4 linked regions of the Drosophila melanogaster genome follow. The gene in region 4 interacts genetically with the main gene of each other region. Each region holds a gene or a part of one and is shown on either strand. Other genes may lie near its edges. The genes, in order: pk, BicD, para and Khc.

Region 1 (4,755 bases), 9.1 Mb from region 4:
TGGAAGCCGACTTCGATTTGAGCTAGCTTGCATTGATTTGATGACACTTTGGGGCCCATTCGATTCCGCTAATAAACGAACCACGTCCAGCCCCCTAAACTCCAGCCATTCCCTCCCAGACTTGGCGTGTCTAAAAGTTGTCTGCACCTTGGGGCTGCTCTTTTGACGTTTCCTTCCCAAATGGTGTTTGATGAAATGTGGCAACGAATGAGGCCGTTATGCTTGCAATTAGCCAAATTGATTTTTTGATAGCGTCAACGCTATCCAACTATAATCCCCATTCTTATACTCAATCTTATTTTGGCCCTTATTAGACTCAGCTAATTGCCTTCGATTTACATTTTCGTTTCAGGTAAGCCAAGCGCAGAAACCTACATAAGTATACGTATTGCTGGACAGGTCTTTGATGCCCGGCCCCTCGGGAGCTTCACACGCCGCCGATCCACAATTCAAAATGCCATAAATCATGCATCATTGAGGCATCCCAGGTTGTGCAACAAAAAGCGGCACGCAGAAACGTAGTGTTTCCGTTCACACTCAGCTTCTAATTAGCCTGCGCTGAGATGGCACTAATGTGCGGCCTAATGATCTCCAGTCGGCAGGCAATGATGGTGACCAACTAACATGGTCAGCTGGAAATCAACCTTGAACTCGTCAGATGGCCAACACGGTTGACATCGCACTTTTTGTCACTTCAAGCCCACTTTGCAATGTGGTTGGGAAATATTTTTGCTTTCTGACAAGAGATATTTCATCACTAAGTACCGGCTTTAAATGTAGCTTATGTTATATTTTTGGTCACATCTAATTTATAAAAACCACTCTTAATTACTCAAAAGGGTTTGGCCAAATCGTATTTCACGGTTACCATATTAAAAACTCTTTTGGGTACCCTTCTAGTGTTTTAACTGTTAAAGTATGAAAATCATTTTAGTACGTATTCTTTCGTGTATGTGTGGTAATCAGCTCTTCTGATGCACTTCATTACTACATGCAGTTTTTTCTTACTTAATTATTTTAAGTTTATTGCTCTTTAAACACCATTAATTTACAAGGTGTTTATTACTTAAAGTTAATTATTTAAGATTTGAACAGCGCTGCCATCAGAATACGGCTGGATATATAACTACTAAATTCTTACATCCATGGGAAGGTAGATTACGCAATTCACTATTTATGAACACGAGGCATTCTATGTAAAAGCCCTATTATTGTCCCATAGAGTCCTGGAAAGTTCTTCAGATACTTCAGCATCTAGAATTTTAGAACCCTATATTGTTTGCAAAAAGAAACAAGAAACTTATATTTCTACATTAGACTTAAACGATGAAATATTAGGAACTCAGATTCTACAGAGAATCTTACGCGCAAATCTACATGTATATGATTCTAAAAATGCGTAGTAACGAAGCATACTTTTGGGATGGTAGTGTAAGCAATGGAGCTATCAAACAAGTTCGATGTTGCAGTTGCGGATTGAGTTGCAGCTTATGATATTTGGCGTTTTATACAAATTTAGACAATTTTAACGACGAAATCGGAAACAAATTACTATAAACTATCTTGTTATCGTTAACTACACTTAATAGTGATAGTATTTTGGCAGCTCGTTGAAAGAACACTAAAGCAAGAAGTCCCACGAACACCTTACCTTCATCGAACACGATCCACAGCCTAAGATCAAACCACACAGAAATCCACATCTGGGCAGGTTCGATCAGTCTGAAAGCGTCGTCAGTTGCGAGCGGTTTACATCTGGCAACAGGTGCGGGTTAGTCGTCGCGTAATCCGTCTGAACGATCGATCGATCGCGCGCTCTTCGGCTATGTCGATTTCGGTCCACGTTATCTTGCGCCAGATCTGTCGTTTACCGTTTTTCAGCCAGATCGGAGCAAAGTGCACAAAAAGCTGCTAACTGAATTCGCAACAATTGCAAAAAATTGACAAAAGTGAAGTGCAATCCATAATCCAGAGTGGTCCCTATCAGGGCCAGCTAAATAAGTCTGGCATAGTGTTCCTTCCTGGGGCCAAGTGAATTAATGCAACAATTGGCCTAAGCGCTCATTTACGCTAAATGCTCGGGATAAGCCACACGGGCAAGTGAGATGTGATTTAAGCCATGTTTTCGCCTGATGATTGTCAACGCAGCTCGTTTCGTACAACACGGATACCAGCTGATACTCAAACTCAAACTCCTTCACTGATACAAACGCTTTCGTATTCGTATTCAGATACAGATACAACTGACAATAAAATTACATTAAAAATCAAATGAAATTCGAGGCCGATTGATATGCGAGGCACAGACGTCGGGCCGGCTGCTTTAGCGCAATATTTTTATGGGATTATCGAAGGTCGAGAATCTGTTAGCCAAGGTGTGTGGCTGATACTTAGGAAACGAAAGACTTGAGCAACGAACTTTGGATATGCCCGGCCCGTCGGTGTAATGGCTTTCATAAGCTTATGCACATTACACGTCAACTGAAGTGCTCAGCTTGATTTATTTAGATGCGTTAAGTTTTAATCGCCATTCGCAGCGCACTTTCACCAACTTGCTGCAGCCTCGCGGAATGAAGTCATAACCAAATAGGCTTACGACCCGCTCCAGCACATAAAACATGACTCGTCTAGCCATAAAAACACTTGCCAAAGCCCGAAATATTTTGATTACCGCGCACAGCTCTTGGCTTTCTCCGCCGCTTGATCCAATTAGTTTTTGGTGGGCCATAGTGCAGATAAAGCTGAGGATCTACGGATCTGGTGATCCAAAGCAGCTGCCACCCACAGAAGTGTAATGAAACGGGCTTACATGGCGGCAATGTGTCAACAATGGCTTGTTAGCAATTGCTTTTCAGTCCCGTGTGTGTGTGTGTGTGTCTGTGTGGGCTTCGAACACCTCATTGACAAGAGACATTTGACTCGAGCTGAACGTGTGTGTGGGCCGGGGTTGAAATTTATCTCCGATTTCTAATTGCCTGACATGCCAATTTGAATTTAAAGCGCACCGATAGTGGTTCTGCGGCGCATTCCTCCGCGGTGTATGTACATAGCCCAGGCACGGTGGCCATAAAGCACCAACGGAACACTGCAATTCGCTCTGGTCTTTTATGGCCCGGCCAACTAAATCAATTTTCGCACTGCGGCTGGCTTCGATTCCGGGCTTTATTGAGAAATTCTTCATAATTATGTAGCGTCGGCCGGCGGCGGTTCGAAATAAAACTGTTGTTTATGGCCGAGTTGCGGCAACTAGTTGGCTCAATTATGGAGCTGCTGCATCAACTTTCTCCCTCACTATGGGCCAACTGCCACGGCTGCTTAACCCCAATCGACGCCTCGAACTGACTAACTAACTAACTAACTGGCGTGTTAATTTGTTGGTTAGTTTACTCCGCACGCAGCCATCTAGCCACAATTGCCGGAGCATGAAGGCAAGATGCTCTGGCTATCTGGCTGTCGGGCTATCTGAGATACAAAGCAGCTAAAGATTCCCGCCTCGGAATAGATTGGCCACTTTACAGTTATCGACTTGGTTTTGTTAGCATAACAAAAGGTCCGAGTGGGTCAACAACCTAACTTCGTTATGTCAATCTCTGTGTCTGTGCCCCACCATTTGCATATTACACATGTCTCACGTCCATTTAAAGACGCAATTAACGAACCATTTCCCAGCTATTCATCATTGGCGAGCGAATTTCGGTCTGTAAATTAATTAGGCCCCGTTATGAGCTTTTGAGGCGGGAAGTCGTAAATAAGTATTGGATCCGTCGATGGACGTATGCAAACGCCAATTTGAACTGTCATCCTGTCAGCTCGCGTTAGTTTCCCAACCATCTTCCAGGCAGATAAGAACGGGTTCCCCGGAAAATGGAGCAACGTTAGCTGGCCCGGCCCGCTCGTTTCCTCTCACTCAACGCCATTTGATTGGATTTGACATTTAACACGAGTGCGCTGCAGATTAGACCGGCCAACTGCCTACCGCCCACAAGGTGTCCATTTTGGCGGCGTGCCGACTCGATTTTCATTTCACTTTGTTTTCCACGACATCGAACGATTTTCGAGATGCGATCGGGTTTTATGTGAGCGCAATAAAAACTTGAAAAGGAATTCCATTTCTGCTTAGAGCAATCAATTTCGATGGCGACAAAGACGTTTAGCACCCCGCTCCACCGATAAGCCAGGCGTGAGATTATTATCCGACCCAATGAAATATGAGGCCCAGACAATGGCTCATTAGATCGCCGGGCTTTCGCCCAAACTAGTTTGGCTGGCGGACCTAAACTGTGTAATTATTACGGCCTGGCCCAGCCGTAGCTTTCAGAGGCTCAAATTATAGTTTGGCAGTAAAATAGACAAACAAGTTAATCCATTAGCGAGTGAGACATCCCGCCTGACTGCCAAACAGAACCGGAAAGAATCCAGCTCTGAAGACCGCTATTGGGTGCATATCTCTTATTGTTTATATTGTCTCCCTGGCGGGATTCGTATGGTAATATCGGAAAATGTGCCAGCTGCATAGGCCCATCCGACTGCATAATAAATTATGAAATTTTACAGTTGCAGCCGCGCTGAATGAGTTGTCACGTCTGCGGCTTTCTAAACCACTTAGGTAGGCAGTGATAAGTCCATATATATGTCAGATTCTGTGGCGCTGAATGGGGTTCTTGATAGCTTGATAACACAATTTTAACCCGTTCAAAAGAGACTTTCCGGGCAAATGCGGCTCAAGTGGGCGCAACACTAAACACAAAAGGTTGA
Region 2 (4,641 bases), on a different chromosome or scaffold from region 4:
ATATGTCGCCCAGTCTCCACATAGCTTCCTTTAAACCTCACCCCTTTTTTTACACTTTTGTGGGGACACAGAAAATGCCCGCAGTGACGTGGTCGTCGACGTTGCTATTATTTTTTTTGTAATTTTTAAGCATCCATTATAAATGTGTGTGTGTGGGTGGAGGGTTCTTTTGGCCTCGCACTCATTTTTTTATTTGTGTTCTCGTAAAAGTTCAGTTGAGTTCAAATCCAACAAGCTGGAAACTATCAAGCTACGTTACAAGTGCACTGCCACCTGTCCAACAATTAATTGGCAGGCTTTTTGTTCGAAGCGCATAAAAATGCATGCGCATATACGTATTACGCACATACATATGCCCATTTGTAAAAAAGGTGTTACCGCCTGCATTGTGTGTGTGCGTGTGTGCAGGTGTTAACGCCCCCGTAGGATTTTAATTCCAGCTAACTTTTGTTAGCCCCATGGTTAATGGAACTTTAATTGCACTGTTTGCTAATTGGGGATACTTAAAGAATATGAACTATATGTTTACACCAAAATCAAATCTAAAAATAACAAATGATTTTGTTAATTTGCGTAATACAGTAAACATGTGTATAATTGTTCTGATCTTTATTTAACCAGTTGTATTTACTGTATGCTTTATTTACCCTTCTCCAACAAAATCGGCCTAAACCAACGTTTTCTTTTGGCAACAAGCAAAACAAACCAAAAAGGAAGCTTGTTGGGACACCAGTCGGAAAAAGCCAAAGCACGAAATGATAATAGACGGCTGAATGAGTATAGACTGCTTCCCCCATTTGATTTTTACCGAGGAAAGGACACAACTTTTCCCTGCCGTCTGGTAATGCAGTTCAGAGCCCGACAATCCACGGCCTGTGAAAATTCCAGAGGAAATGCCAGGCGATGACGAGGACTAATTGGAAAGGAAGGTTGGTGGTAAGAAGAAAAGGAGGAGTTGGATGTGGAAGTGGAGGTAGTTGGGCACTGAATAAAGGTGCAAAATGAAATGGCAAGAGTAGATTGGCCGTGCTGCAATCGGCCAACTGAAAGCTGAGATAATTTTTATAGGCCAAAACAATGTTTATGCCAAATTGAGCGTGATCAGTGGAGACAAGATAAAGATAAAAAAACAAAGAAAACATAATTTTGAAACAATGAAATAATTCTGCCAGCCAAATGCATTTTAAATGTTTAAGTGTTTTCAATCAAATCAAATGAGAATGCTATAGTGTTAACTTTAAAGATCGCTTTATGATTTGAACAACACATATCATCTAGGATCACTAGAATAATGGCATCGCATGGCTTTTTTTGGCCTTTATACTGACGGACAGAAGGACACTTGGCTAGCGATTATGATCTATGATAAACATACATAAATACTTTTTGCGGTCGTAAAGGCTTTCTTTCAGCTGTTAAGTTGTGTTTTTCATTTTTTAGTTTATTTATTGTTTTGTTTAGCGGACTGAATAGTATCTTCAATCGACCCAAGCGGTTCCACTGTATTTAAAGGTATACAAAACAACAGCACGTGACCATATGGCCAAGCCAGTTTCCGATTTCATGATCAGAGAGCGAATCCCAATTATTTCTGCTAGACCAGACCAGACGGACTTTGCAGAGCGATAGGTAGACTCGCCGAAAGAGAGTCAAACTGGCCAACAGGTGAGCGAGTTAGTTTGCCAGCAAGACAAATTGTTGGCCGTTGTGGAAAGGTTTTCTCTGTCTAAATATGTAGGTGTGTGTGCCCCAAGGTGTGTGTGAGTACGCGAGTGGGCCAGCTGGGCGATAAGCGGCGACTGCTTGGAAACAGATCGAAAAACATAGCAACAGAGGGGGCCAAATTGGCGGGTTACTATATAACCCATTGGAGCATTTAAAAACTGCGAAGAATTGTAGGCAAACTTACCTCCTGTGTGATGTCCAGTTCGTGGCGCGTGTTGTCGTAGAGCGTCTCCAGTTCCTCGCACTTCTGCTGCAGGGCGGACTTCTCCTCCAGCAGGGACAGTCCGTACTGGGCGGACTGGGCGCTGGCGGAGGACACCTGGTCCAGTTCGCGCGTGAGGCGCTCCACCTCCATTTGCAGGTCTTGCACGGATTGGTCCGCCGATGGGCCGTTGTTGCTGGCGCTGGACATGATGATGGATGGATGGTGTCCTTAGTGGTCGGGGGAGGGGGTGATGGTGTGGGTGTTGGTGGACGGTACAGCTGCCCGTGGGCAGGTGAATCTCCTCGTTGTTGCTGTTGATGCTTCTATCCTGGGCGGAATCTTTTCGATACAATTTTATGTTTTGGAGGGAAATCGATAGAAGTCGATTTGTATATGCCGCACTGTTTTGTTGTACTTCAGTGCTTTTTTTAAAATAATTTTTTTTATCGAAACCCCACACTCACACAACTCCACTCGCGGTGTGCTTTTTGCGTGTGTGTGCGTGCGTTTCACCTTTTCTCTTTTCCGTTTGAATGCGAACGTGTGTGTGTGTGTGTGGAATGGTATCGCTGCGGGTTTTCTCCTCTCTTCACTCACCGCGCTAAATTAGTAAATTAAACAGCGCTTAATGGCCAATTAACCGTGGGCTTTTAACGGCAAATAATTCTGCACTATATTTATATATGCCTGTAAGTCACACACACACACCAGCGCACTGCCGTACGCACACATAGGCGCGTATAAAACAGTTGGCAGCAGAAACTGAAAACGCAGCGCAGGAAGTTGTTTCAATTAACTCGAAAAGAAACAGCCGAAATGACATCACACAATTTCCCCTTTCCTTTCGTTCGCTGGCAAAGTGGGAGTTTTTCCCATTTTCCCTGCACTTTCCCCGTTCGCACGACTGCTCTTCGCGTATTCTCGTTATCCGTTGCACAATTGCGGCGTAGACGGCTAAATGCGGTATATATCAGGCCCAATCGCTGCGGTCGTCGATGGAGTCGAAATTTTCAAGCAAGTGCAAAAACAAAATTTTGTCCGCAATCACGTCGATTCTTGGCAATGTTTGTGACGGAATTTCAGTGCGACCGCAGGCAAAACTTTCGATAATGCGGAGAGGTGTGGAGAAAAGCGTTAAGAATGCGCTTAGCTCGGACCCAAACCTCGCGTTGGTAATAATAATCGCGTTTCCACTACTAAGGGTATGATTTTATTTAAAATGCTTGAAGCAACAGATTTATTTTTATATAAAAATATATAATATAAATATAATTTAAGCTGAAACCAAAGTTTGTAAACAGCGTCAGCATTTCCCATACTATCAGAATGTTCGATATATGTCTCAAAAGTTATCGGGCCATGTAGCACATCGATACTCGATTTTATATTCACATTTCGCCTAATCACATTTACTTTTCAACTTGTCTGTCGATCGAAATTAAGCGAACAGAAATCTAAAGCATAACCAAAATGCCGGACGCAGTGCAGCAGAGTTTCGTGCGTAGCTTCATTGACTACCTGAAGAAGCAGGGGGACGTGATGTCGCCGGACCAGACCGAAAGCATCGAGGTGGCGATCCAGTGCCTGCAGGCGGCCTTTGACTTGGGCGATGATGTGGAGGCAGCGCCGGCTGCGGCTGGTGAGGAGCAGGCCACCACACAGAGCAGCAGCACTGCGAGCGCACCGGACGATGATGCGGTGGCCAGCGGAAGTGCTGGTATCGGCGCCGCCGCCGCCGCCGTTCCCAATAACATTGACATGTTCGAGCTCTTCCAGTCGCTGTATACAGAACGCAATCCGGAATCCCTGGCCCTGGCCGAATCCATCAAGAACGAGGGCAACCGGCTGATGAAGGAGAACAAGTACAATGAAGCACTGCTGCAGTACAATCGTGCCATCGCCTTCGATCCCAAGAATCCGATCTTCTACTGCAATCGGGCTGCGGCCCACATCCGGCTGGGTGAGAACGAACGCGCCGTAACCGATTGCAAGTCCGCCCTGGTGTACAACAACAACTACAGCAAGGCGTACTGCCGCCTGGGCGTGGCGTACTCCAACATGGGCAATTTCGAGAAGGCGGAACAGGCCTACGCCAAGGCCATCGAGCTGGAACCGGACAACGAGGTGTACAAGAGCAACCTGGAAGCGGCCAGAAACGCCAGGAACCAGCCGCCCCAAACGGGGCGATTAAGGGAAGACCTAATCAACATGCTGTCCCAGCCAATGGTTAGGAATTTGTTCAACAACGCCGAGATCGACGTGGAGCAGCTGCTGTCGATGCTTCAGAATCCAATGATCATGAACACCATTCGCCAGCAGTTCGGCGGCGGCAATGCCCCGACCCTGCCCAATGACATGGTGCAAATGATCTATAACATGACCAGCCAATTGACTGGCTTTCCCAATTCGAACGCAAATCCTGGCAATGAACAGCAGCCGGGCAATCAGCCACCACCGAGCACCTAGAAGTGGATAGAATCCCGATCCCCGATCCCTGCCTGGATCGGCGGCACACAGATTAAGTTGTTAAGCTGAAACTATAAATGTATTTATAATGTTTAAATGGCTTCTATTACGCATACATACATACATACATATACATTTTTATCCAATGGAAATAAATAAATGACCGTGCAAATTGCCGCTGTTCCAATCGAATTTTCAATGAATATTAAATATATATATTATAATGCCTCATATATTTTTCTAGT
Region 3 (4,699 bases), on a different chromosome or scaffold from region 4:
CATCCCACGATTCTGGCTTGTGGTCATTGGGGTCATCTATCTCCGCCGGTGGGTTGACTGGTGGCACAAAGTCGGTCAGCAGGGAACCCTCTTTGATGATCTTGTGGTCTAAGCGAATCTCAAAGCTGTTATCGGGACGGACCACCAGCTGGTAGAGATGGGGTAGCTTGTCCGTGAATGGCACTCCCAAACGGGCATTTGGCTTTTTGCAGTGCTTTTCGGTGATGTTGCCATTTAATGGATTGACGTGCCGGAATATAAAGTGCATTTTCAAATTGTTGCCGCACTTGTCCGGACCAAACATGATGGTATAGGGTGTCTTGTCATTGAAGCGATTTAGTTGCTCCGTGCCTTTTCCGGCGGACAAAAGCTTCAGATACGAGCCGCCACAGTCCTGACCCTCCTGCAACGTAAGCTCGTACTGCACCACCAGCGGCTTGTTCGACTTGAAATCGAACGGCTGGCGAAAGGGGGCGGCTATGGCCGCATGCTTGGCCTTCGACTTGAGCACCAGACCCAGATCGTTTGCCCAAAAGATGCGTTGCGGAGACTCCCAGTTCCAGATGCCATCGTATTTGGCTATCTCATCGGCGATGTCGTTCTTCTTGGCCTGCGACAGTACCCATCTCTTTCGGGATGCCTCCACGTCGTCGAAGTGATCCGCAAAGTAAAACTTTTCGGCATCGATCACCGGACTCTTGTAGGCAAACTTCTCATCGCCATAGATGGCGCCGGGCTCTATCTGCACATCCTCCACAGAGTTTTCCGACTCCGGGGCCAAATAGCCGGTTTTGGCCGCACTCAGCAGCAACAAAATGGCGAAGAGCATTTTCCAAGCCATTTTCACACACTTTTCGCTTGCTCGCTTACTCAGAGTTGGAATAGATAAGGATTGACTGAATTGAGCCTTGCGTTTTTTTAATATAGCGACGTTCGAAGAAATTAACGATTTTTAACGATTTTTTGTGAAAAGTGGTTGACTTGACTGAACTGAGCCTTAATGCGTATGACTTTATTGACGCCGCTTGCTTGTTTGTATAAATTTTGGATTTGACTTACATAGATAGCTTAGTAATAGGTAATACGATTATGATTTTTAAAATGTAGATAATATTATAAGCACTTCATTTATTTGAAACGGTCTAACACTACCTTCTACCGCTACTACAGAAAATGTGAGAATTGAATCTAGATTCGGTTACGGATGTTCCTGCGGTCTTCGGATATTGGGCTTACATAAGCAGCCTCCGCTAAGGTCAAAGCACTCTTTTTCCATTTGCCAATCTGGCTGCGTGTGTGTATGTGTGAGCGCGCCAGTGTGTGTGCGTGTGTGTGTGTGTGTGTGTATCGAGCATAAAAGTAGGTCAGTTCGATATTTCGCCACACTCACACACACACGGAGGCATGAAGCATAGGGTAGCGTTCTCACACACACACAGAGTGGCAGTGGATGTGCCAATATGAGCATATATTTATGTGTGTCTGTTTCCATTCATGACACTCGCAAAATTCTGTTTGCCGAATTAATTTTTGGCCATTCGCTGGGTCGATGAGTCATGCGAAAAACCGCAAACAAGAATTGAAATAAAAAACAACCCGAGCCGGAATTTGTGTCAATATGCAAATGACACATGACAAACACATGAGCGAAACGCAAAACGTTTTCCTTAGCCAACCCAAGGTATCGATTTGGCAATATAACACAGAATATCTGCTACCCTATTAATTGTTGAACAAAATTCGATGGCAAGGAAAGGACTAAAAAACTAAAAAAAAAAACAAACAGAAACAGCAAAAAACTGAACGAAGTTAGCATGTTGTTAGTCAATGAATTTTGCATGGGAGAGCGCAATGGGCTGGCGAGAGAGCGAGGACTCTCACTCTCCTCCTGCCTGCGCCGAGAGAGCCAGTGCCCTCTCTCTTGCGCTCTCACTTCTCTGTGTGATGCCGCCAACAAACACGGACTACAACAATACATTTTTGGGTTCCCTTCTCTCTTAACGAACCTCCTTTCAATGTGTGCGTGAGCAAAGGAATTCCGTTAGAAACACCCCCCCCCCTCAACCTTCATCATTCATTTTTTTCTGCTCTGCTCTGCTCTGTTCTTTTTTTTTTTTTGTGGCAGCTGAAAGTTTGCCCTCCAAAAGCCAGCAAAAGGTTGTAGCCCAAAAGCAAAGGGGCGTGCCAGTGGGCGGGACAAAAAGGGGCGCAGATACCCCATTGATATGGTCTTGAGGTCGGGCCTGGTTAACTGGGATTTTCACCAAGGAGGCATGACATAATCGAGCCAAGTTCATCAAGTCGCCCACTGCTCCGTTCACACTTTTCTAGCTATTCAAATATTGAAATACATACGAAAGACACAATTGCTTTCTAAATTCTCATTTGACGTGCAGCGTAAATTGCCCTTTTTGGTATTCTATATTAAAATTGCAATCGATGGGAATACCAAATGTGGGTTTCTTAAAAACTTTCAATGAAAGTTGAACCATTGACCCAGTAAAATGTAGTTCTCTTTGACCAAAATGAAAAGTAAATTAATGACTTTGTTTTGAGCTGAGAAGTAAGTTAAGTAAGAGCTGAGAATTTCTAATATAACACATTGTTAGCCTGTTTGCTCTAACATAGATAACATAATTATTTTCAATACATTTCCACTATGTGTTAATTGTAAGAATTCATCATAAAAGTGGTTCTTTTAGACTCGAAAGATCGTTTAGTCTTAAGAATAAATCATTCAAGGTATCGGAAATAGTTGAAACTCAACAAATAAAAAATTTCACGATTTTTTTTCCTCTGTTTAGGGTTAAATATCATTAGCATAATTAAAAGTGCAATGAATGTGATAATAAAATACATATTAAATGGATTTTTTCGATTGCCTTCGATTACCTACCGTTAATCGATGTCTATCGATGTTGTGCCTGGCTGCTCGCTCTATCCGCTGATGTTGTTGTTGCTGTAGTTGCTATTGTGGTTGTTGTTGCTGTTGCTGCTTTTGTTGTGAGCGTGCTTGCTTGTATTGTTGTTGTTGCTGCTGCTGCTAAGAATTGTTGCTGCTGTTAACTACTGTTGTTGTTGTTGTGGTTGTGGCTCTGGCTGCTGCTGCTGTTGTTGTAGTTGTTGTTGTTGTGGCTCACACATTTACAGGCACCAACACACACGCGACGCACTCACACACATATGCATACATATACATAGATATATATATATATAAATATATATATATGTATATTTTATATATATATATATATTACGGAGACGAAGACGAATAAAGTTGAAGCGGTAGAACAAGTAGAAGATGAATTTGTTGTTTGTTTTGTTTTTTGGTTTTTTTGTTTGGTTTTTTTTTTATATTTGTATTTTTGTTTGCTTTTATTTGTTTTGGTTTTGTTTGTTAAATCTGCATTATCATTGGGTATTTGAATTGGTTTTTTTATTTAATTTTTTTGCGTGCTTAACAACAACCAAGACGTGTTGCCAGAAATTTTCATCAAACGTTGCGTTTTGTTCCCAGAGCTGTTTCAATTTATTATTTATAGTTAATGTTAATATTATTTGTTGTATTATTTCTACTAGTATCTGGCTACCTGGCTGGGATATTTAAATGAGTTTGCCTCGGCTTGGTTTCTCAACTGTTGCTATGATTATAATTGGTTTTCCGTATTATGACTAATAGTATTATTATTATTATTTGCAGATTTTATTTCGGTTTTAGTTTCAATTTCGTCAGCGTCGCCTGCGGAAAAGCGAACAAGTTGTTGAAACCCAGCTTAAATTGGAAAATTTGATGGGAAAACTCATTCACAAAAGGTGACAGAAATGTAAAAAAAATTGAAAAAAATATTATCGGAAGAAAAAATTTCGAATAATTTGTATGGCCCACTAAAAGCACCCCCTAGTATTGTTTGAATGGCTTGAAATTATTTTTTTTAATATTTATTTCTTTTTATATGTTAGATTTTCTGCTGTCCTTGTGCCAATTATGTGAATTATGTCGTTAGTTTATTTGATTCCTTCTACTAAACTTGTTATATTTCTTCAATAGATATTTAAAATGGGCTTGTAAATTGTATTCACACACTTGATGGCTTTCACTTAGACACACGAAAAAAAAAACGTAAAATGAGCACTCAATTGGCAGGATAATGTCTCACTGGATTGGATGCACTGTAAAAAAAAATGTCGAGGCAGCGAGTCGCGGCTTGTTTGTGTTTATGCAATTTTCGCGCGCACGTGAAACGCAGAGCAGTATTGAAAAAGGACACAAGGATGCGGAAAAAAGTCGAGCACTGAGCACTGAAAAAGTTCCTCCTCTCTGGGTAACTCCGTTTTCGGGCGAACCAGGCAGTTGTCCGCCGTTTCGCCGTGACTTCCTTTTATCCGAATTTGCCGCGAAAAGGAGCAGAAGCAGTTCGCGCGTGTGTGTGTTTGTGTGTGTGTGAGAAGTCCTTTTCGCCCTAAAGCATTTGCCATATATAACCACCCAAGTCGTTGTCAACACAGGTTTTGTTGTGCTACTTTGCCACCCTGTTTTTCGCTGCTTATCCTTTCGCCCTTCGCTATTCTCCGCCATTTGCCACATACTATTCGCCATCGCCGACTCTCATTTTTTTATTTGTCTTTGGTCACTTGTTCTATTTTTAGGTCATCAAGCTGATATTCCACGGCTCTGCTCTGCCCGAAAATTGCAACAGTG
Region 4 (7,529 bases):
AGAATATTTACCATATTGACGAGCCGCAGGCTCTGTTTGAATTCGTACATCCTAATCGAGCGGAAAATATTGACAATACTCGCTGCAAGACGGTTTCATTTAAAGTCAATAAAGATTGCGTGCTGCACGGAATCGGCGGATACTTTGATACCCATTTGTACAAGGACATCTGCCTAAGCATCAATCCTCTGACCCATACGCCTGGCATGTTCTCCTGGTTCCCCATGTTCTTCGCAACGGTACGTGTGATGTGATTAGTTAGCCTTTGATAACTGCTACATTAATATATATTTTTACTACTCAGCGTCCAAGAACTCTGAGGGAGGGACAGACTATATCCATCCAGTTTTGGCGATGCGTGGATGCAACCAAAGTGTGGTACGAATGGCAGGTGGTCAATTCTCCAGACGATTGGGAGCACCATAACACACGCGGGACAGGTTACAACATGCGATTGTAACAGCAGACGATGTAATAACAACCAATAGCCAAATAATCGGCATAATTTTTTTGAACTGCAATAAGAATCAAACTAAAGAGACCTTAATTTGTCTGCGACTTTTATTTAGGTTTATGTTTGAAAAGTTTATAAATACTCTTAACGTATATAGATGTCCTTACATATCTGTGGGTTTTATTATTTTCGGTTTGTAAAATTTAGTTAATTTCCGGTTTCCTTTCATTTATTTAATTAAATTATATGTATGTATATTTAAAGCGCTGCACATGATCGCGACACATCTCATCTAAGCGAAGGCAATTATCAGTTATGTTAAGTATGTATAACGTAATCCATTTAGTTTAGTTTAAAGCGGAGCTGAACTGGGCGGCGACAGGTGGTGATTGGATCTACGAGTTGACAGGATTAACCTGGGCCAGCGGGGATGGTCCTCCAACGGCGCCACCACCACGAATGGCGATTGCACCCTGGCCGGACCGGATCGGCTTGGCGATCTGTGCCTGTGGGCCACGTCTGCCCAGATGCTTCTGTCGCACCGCCTCCTTGATGCGGTCCACCTCGTATTGGTAGCGCTTGCGATCCCGCATTGCGCCCTCCTTCGCCTCCTTGAGCGCTGTCTCCAGAGCTTTCACCCGCTCCATGGTACAGCGTAGACGCTTCTCCAGCTTGGGCAGCTCGCACCGCAGATCGGCGTTGTCCCGCACCAATTGCTTGTGCACCTTGGTCAGCTGGTCGAGGTTGTTCTCCAAGAAGGAAATCTTCTGTTTCTGCGCGAGTGATCCACCGTCCTCCTCGCTCTCCTCGTTTACGACATTCTTTCGGATTCGTTGCTGTTGGCACAAGGGAAATACATTTTAAGATCTGTACGTAGCAATAATAGATAGGATTGCTTAAACTTTACCTGTAGATCCTGAACGAAAAGTTTTCGCAGGTTGTGTAGCGTCTGCAACTCCTTGGCCACCGTGTCCTCCAGGCCCTTGAGGTCTTTGCGCGCTTGCTCCCGACGCTCGTTGGTGAGGATGATGTTCTGAAGCTCGCTGGACTTCTCGGCATCCTCCTGGCGCACCTTCTCGTAGTCGGCCGTCATCTGTTGGTGCGCCAAGAGCAGCTTTTGATGGACATCCTTCATCTCGTCCATTTCGTGCTGCTTGGCGGCAATCTCATCCCGGAGCTCGGACACCTGCCGGGTGTGGGCTTCGCGTAGCTCGTCCATCTGAGAATCGAACATGGAGCGCAGCTCCTCAGCCCGCTGTTTCTCCTCGGCGTTAACGGCGGAAACGTGCTCGGCGGCCTTGAGCTTGGCGCATTCCTCGCGCAGCGAATCGATTTGTTCCTCGAGCGTGCGCTTCTTGTTCTCTGCCTCCCGCATCGACTCCTGCAGCGACTTCATGCGTGCCTCGTGCTGCGAAATGAGTAGCCGGTACTCGCCCAGATCTTTCTCATATTCGGAGATCTTCTTGTTGGAGTCAGCCTGCTGTGTTTCCATGTTGGAGCATCGCTGGGCAATGTTCTTGGCCTCCGTCTTCATCTTGCTGATAAACAAACGCGCCATGGTGAAATCTTCCTCCACCTTGCTGGCATCCGTGCCAGCCAGAGCACTCATCTTGAGGTCAATGCTGGACTCGCCGGGGGCAATGGCCTGGCCCACTTCGCCAAGGTCGCGCAGTAGGTTGGTTAGCATTTCCGTGATGCGCTTCTTCTGGTGTGAGGACATGTCCTTGAGCTGCTGTAGCTCTGTGGAGGCGGCGTTGAACACAGACTGCTTCTGCTGCAGCTCCTCGTTGAGGGCATCGATATCCTTGTTCTTGTTATCGATCTCCTGGGATTTCTGGTCGTAGTTTACAGCCAGCTCTTCGAGAGCTTGGAGCACCTCCTTAACCTCTTCCTTGGCGGACTCGTTCTCCTGTTGGATTCGCGCCATCTCCGACTGCAAAGTCTCATACTCACGCCGAGCGTTAGCGATGAGTTCCTCCTGCTCCATCACCTGCTCCTTGAGCTGCTCGGCGTACTGGCTCTGCTGATTGATCTCCTCATCCTTGTCGTCCAGCTGCTGGTAGAGACGCTCGCACTCTGTAGCCAGCCTGGCCTGCTCGTTCACGGCAACCGATGCGGACATATTGGCGAGAGCCGTTCGCTGGGCGGCCAAAGCGGCCTCGGCCGCCGCCGTCTGTGCTGCCTCCACTTCCAGGTTGGGCGTGCTTGCCTCCATGAGATCCTCCATGTTGATTTGCTCCTCCGCCTTAACAGTTTCACCCGCTCTCCAGCGCGCAAGCTCGATCTCCAGCTTCTCCACCTTACCCTTTAGTCGGGCGTTCTTTTCCTTCTCCTTTTCATAGCGTCGCTTCCATTCCTCGGCAGTAAGCTCCTCGTTAACGCAGACCACGTTCTTCACTGTCTTGGCTCTACGACCGAAGTCCAGCGTTGACTTCGTTTCAGATTCGTTGAAACTGGCTGGAGAGCAGCAGATGACGATGGTTGTGCGTGCATTGCCTCCCAGCGACTCCTGCAGGATGCGCGTGAGCTTGGAATCACGGTAGGGGATGTGCGTTTTGTTTCCGTCCGCCAGGGCTGAAATTACGTTGCCCAAGGCCGACAGCGACTTGTTGATGTTCTTGGCTTCATCAAGAACGGTTCCCTCCGCTCCAGTCTTGGAAACCTTCTCGGAACCGGCCAAATCCACCAGGTAGAGTTTGCCGGATAGTTTCTTCTGGTTCTCCAGGTTCTCCTGCTTCACATTGATAAGGAATACTGAGTGGGATCGCGAAGAATGCTCGTTCATGTCTGAAAGGATGGATAAATCGTTATAAAAGATGATCTGGTACATGAAACACTACAATCGAGGTCAGAGCGAATGCTGGAATAACTCCTAGACTTGTTTGGCTGAAATGGTCCTGACCATCGATTTTAATTAGTACTCACTTGTCACAGCGATGTGACGATTGGATTTGCCCTCCTCGATCACCTCGAAAACATCCTCCGGCGACGAGACGAACCGTTCCGTAGCGCCCTTGACGTACGGCACCCGGTTCTTGTCCTCGTGCACGCTTAAGTTCACCTTGGAGACGTCCAACAGATCTCGAATCTTGTCCATGTAGATCTCGTAGTAGGAGACCTTGATGTGAAACTCCAGGTTCACCTCCATCGCGTAGATGTGATTGAAAATGTCGTTGACGATACGTGGTATGATACCCTGTTTTACGGAGTCCCCGATCACGCCCTCCATCGTATGCGTTTTTCCGGAGGACGTCTGACCATATGCGAATATCGTTCCATTGTACCCGGCCAGGACATCCGTAACAATGGACTTGGCCGCCTCATTGTAGACCTTCTCCTGGGATGCATTCGGTTTGAAGACCTTGTCGAACAAATACACCTTGCCCTGCAGACGATGGAGATTAGGTTTAGTATAATGTGTTTTTTTCTTTAGTACATAGCAGCCAGTTACATTAGCTATAAACTGGTGTCAGTTGCGGTGAAATTTCTTTCGGAGATTCATTCCCCCTGTCCCCGATCTTTTCCCGCTGACTGCCTTTGAATCATTTTCAACGCATGGCCGCGAAGCAGATTGTAATTATGAGCATTAAGACATGTTAAGTGGAAGGGGGAAGAATAGTGAATAACGAGCGCCAGAAGAAAGCCACAGCGAAAGAGAGATAGATAGAGTTAGTCAGAGAGAGAGAGAGAGCGTAATGATAATGTCTGTGTATGGAGGCACTATATTAGTGCTGACTTTTTTGGAACTGGTTCAATTGCCCAAGCTTTACCAGGAATATGACGGATTACACCTGGCGGAAAAGCGGGAAATTCAGCATAGCATACAAAGCAATAACATTTCATGTGGCATAAAAGCAATACAGCCAAATTCCATTGCCTCCAAAGTTGCTCTTATTGTTTTTCCTCATATTTTTTTTTTTTGTATGCTTTGCGTGCATGACTCATTGGCGCGCGGACAGGGGAGTGGAAGTGGAGCGGGGGCTACCGTCAATGTGTGTATGTGTTTGTGTGGAAATGTAAGTGAGGTAAGCACTGAAGGCGGACTGGAAACTAGAAAAGCGCATATTTATGCGGCCCAAAAGAATGGAACACCCGCTTTTAGCAGAAAACCGTCTAGTGGGTGGCATTTCTCCACCCCGTCATCGCGCTTCTTTCGATTTACACACCCTATTCTTTTTCGACTGGGGGAAAATCAATTTGGTGCAAAGCAATATTGATTTGGAGTAAAGTTAGTTGGTTTCATCATATACATGTATATGTACATCTAGTTTTGTTTTGTGCAATTATTCATGGGTAACTTTAGTGCCTCTCTCTTTTTATCGCCTGGCATTCCAATTGGTCGGCAATTTTGGGGAAGGGTAATGTACGCTAATAGGCATGACGTCATGGCGCGGCACGCCGAGATTAATGCATAACACATAGGGAAAAGGCACTGGGGGCTGGCGAAAACTATAGATCTGGAACACATACCGCTATGGATATGCAGTTCTCCTCCACATTGTTGGGGAACTTGACCACGAACTTGGAGCCGGCCTTCTCTTCGCTGTCGTTCAGCGGTCGGAATCGGCAGACCACTTTGATGCTGTCCTCGGCGGGAATCTCTCGTTCCGCGGACATTGCTTACAGGGCGGAGATAGATCTTTCTGGCGGAGATTGTTGGATTTCTGCAGCTCTGGGCGCGACCTCTGCGCATGCAGCTCACTGTTTACGTGGATAATCAACGGACTCGCTATCGTCCGCACTATCTGCTGTTCACTGTTTGCTTGTGCCGATTCTGGTACTCCGTTTGGCCCCTTTTGTTCCGATTCTCTGCTGATTCCGACACACTCGCGAAAATTGGGTTGGGGGCGGCTCAAATAAGAAGATGCAGTGAAAATTTTGTGGTTATACCAGACACAAAAGTTGAATTGGTCAAATGGCGATAACGCTGGAGCGCAACCTCGATTCTGACTGCTCCGCGTCGTACTGTTTTGCACTTTTTTGCCCGGAATGATTAAGTGCAGCCGCTAAATGCACTCGCATACGTTAGTAGGTCGGAATTAGTTGCACTCAAAACTATTTTATTATTCGACTATTATTTTCGCTACTGTGCGCCAGTGTGACCGTTCTGCTCGCCCAGCTAAATACCAATCGCCATTTAATTGCACAATAATACTGAATTAATACTCTCAAAAGCTTCGAATGTATGAGACACCCTGCAGATCTTGAAAATGGTAACGGCATATAATATTCCTAATTAAGCGATACCGTTTAAAAATCATTCAAAAATTATTCAAAATTGCTTGTTTATTGTCACTTTTGTTTTTCCTGTCCAAATATTTCGGCTTGGGCGCAATATATAGCTCCAAACTAGGCATACAACCTCTGTAGGTTCAATAGGAAAACGCTATGGAAGATTGATCACCGAGTCGCTGGAAAGGATTGTGGAGAACAGAGGGGCACGATGGCACAGAAGGATATTACGTCGTATTTGAATTTGGAGCGATTGAAGAAGACGCAGAAGCTCATCCGACTTTATCGATCGAACGAGTGCCTCTGGAATCCAAAGTCACCTGGTTTCCATAGTGGTTCTGCGAAGGATGACGCCTGGCGACAAATCACCCGGCGGATGAACTGCGGCCTGACTCCTGACCAGGTGGAGCTGCAGGTGCTCGGTCTGCGGCACTACTACTCCAAGGAATTGGCCGCCATCCGAAATAGTCAAATTGAGGGTTATAGTTATAGTCCAAGGTACTCCTACTTCGAGGACTTGCATTTCTTGGGAAACTTGGAGGTGAGTGGATGGTTTTTGCACTGGATATTGAATAGTGAACCATTATCTTCTATTTTTACACAGGAGGAAGCTAACTGTCCCATTAAGGAAGGACATTTCCCACCCAATTTTTCGGAGGACACATTCATATCGCCTCTAGCTTTTTTAAGTCCCAGCTGCAGTGAAACCAGGTGCGGGTACACCTTCTACAAGATGATTCTAGAGCCTGAGCCACCAAATGAAGAGTTCTTAGGTGTGCACCATGAAAGATCTACGTCCGGCAATGATCGGTGGTATCCCACTGCGTACTGTGTTCGTTGCAAGCCAGAGGAAGACGAAGATCCTTGTGAAGCGTGCGAGCTAAGAGGTCAAAGCAGTCGTCCTCAATTCGGAAGTAAGAGCTCTTTAGAAGGCGGAGAAAGCGGCAGTACCAACCCAAGGATGTCTAATCGGTATCAGGAACAGGATCAGTCAAATAAATTCCAAAAAAGTGATAGCAAACAGTATCGAACTGGGAAACCATGTTCATGTCCCACGAAAGACAACCCAGAAAAGCGTTCATCGCAAACGCAACAAAATGATGTGTACGTCGGTGCTGACAACTGGGATGGTTACGAGTCCGTCGGCAATGGTATACGCAGCGATAGATGGCCAGGTCCCAGACTATGTTCCCAAAAACGCGGAGAGTGGAAGCCCAGGTTCCGTAAAGTAATCGGCGAGGACAATCAGAAGTCGTGCTGCGACAGCTGGAAGCGAAATAATAATGCCGTGTGCGGGAGACTTCTAGACCAGTTGGCCAAGCAACAGAATCAACCCGGCAGTTACTCCGACGATGGAGACTCCGTTCGGAATCAAAGCTGCGGCTGTACGAAGAATCGCCGCCAGTCAGGCGAGGATCAGTTAAACGTAATGCTGTTGCAGAAGAAGTATAGGGATCGGACTTTGTCGAACAATGCAAACAATCCTACCACCGATCGACACAGCAACACTCAACCGATTTCGGATCAAACTTACTATAACACCAGCCATCCAGTTCCGAACTGTTGTTACTGCACTTATAACCAAGTAAATCAAGACGTTCAGCGCTGCAATATCCATGGATGCCAGTGCATTTACTGCAATCAAACTGTGCCTCCCGCCCACGGTAACTACTACCAACCGCATCATGTCGATCAGAATGCCAGGAACTATTCTCGATCAGCTCCACCAGACGCTCCATATGATGAAACGGTTTACCTGAATGACTACGGACGATCTATGTATCCGGAGCCACAGCATGTGTATTGCATCAATGCGGAGGATGCGCCCACAGATGTGTGGGTA

The links.
Region 1: of Khc (region 4) and pk, changing one suppresses a phenotype caused by changing the other (phenotypic suppression), as found in Drosophila melanogaster (one study listed by BioGRID).
Region 2: of Khc (region 4) and BicD, changing one enhances a phenotype caused by changing the other (phenotypic enhancement), as found in Drosophila melanogaster (one study listed by BioGRID).
Region 3: of Khc (region 4) and para, changing one enhances a phenotype caused by changing the other (phenotypic enhancement), as found in Drosophila melanogaster (one study listed by BioGRID).

What each region holds. Positions count from the first base shown.
Region 1 is NT_033778.4:7,185,514-7,190,268, forward strand, and holds the start of pk (prickle), read left to right. Parts: upstream 1-1,719; 5' UTR 1,720-2,100; intron 2,101-4,755. UniProt on the Drosophila melanogaster protein: Acts in a planar cell polarity (PCP) complex; polarization along the apical/basal axis of epithelial cells. Correct expression of the alternative isoforms is required for PCP signaling in imaginal disks.
Region 2 is NT_033779.5:17,470,188-17,474,828, forward strand, and holds the start of BicD (bicaudal D), read right to left. Parts: upstream 3,029-4,641; 5' UTR 2,138-3,028; coding exon 1,910-2,137; intron 1,666-1,909; exon of another isoform or gene 1,416-1,665; intron 1-1,415. Other genes in the region: Sgt (small glutamine-rich tetratricopeptide containing protein), read left to right, coding at 3,401-4,396. UniProt on the Drosophila melanogaster protein: This protein is essential for differentiation. It may play a role in localizing of Nanos (a maternal determinant) activity in oocytes. Functions redundantly with BicDR.
Region 3 is NC_004354.4:16,524,381-16,529,079, forward strand, and holds the start of para (paralytic), read right to left. Parts: upstream 3,035-4,699; 5' UTR 2,897-3,034; intron 1,036-2,896; exon of another isoform or gene 842-1,035; coding exon of another isoform or gene 1-841. Other genes in the region: Cnx14D (calnexin 14D), read right to left, coding at 1-841. UniProt on the Drosophila melanogaster protein: Mediates the voltage-dependent sodium ion permeability of excitable membranes.
Region 4 is NT_033778.4:16,266,415-16,273,943, forward strand, and holds Khc (kinesin heavy chain), read right to left. Parts: upstream 5,558-7,529; 5' UTR 5,072-5,557; coding exon 4,925-5,071; intron 3,840-4,924; coding exon 3,380-3,839; intron 3,242-3,379; coding exon 1,362-3,241; intron 1,291-1,361; coding exon 850-1,290; 3' UTR 546-849; downstream 1-545. Other genes in the region: csul (capsuleen), read left to right, coding at 1-239, 305-460; CG33017 (uncharacterized protein), read left to right, coding at 5,898-6,227, 6,291-7,529. UniProt on the Drosophila melanogaster protein: Kinesin is a microtubule-associated force-producing protein that may play a role in organelle transport. Milt and Miro form an essential protein complex that links Khc to mitochondria for light chain-independent, anterograde transport of mitochondria.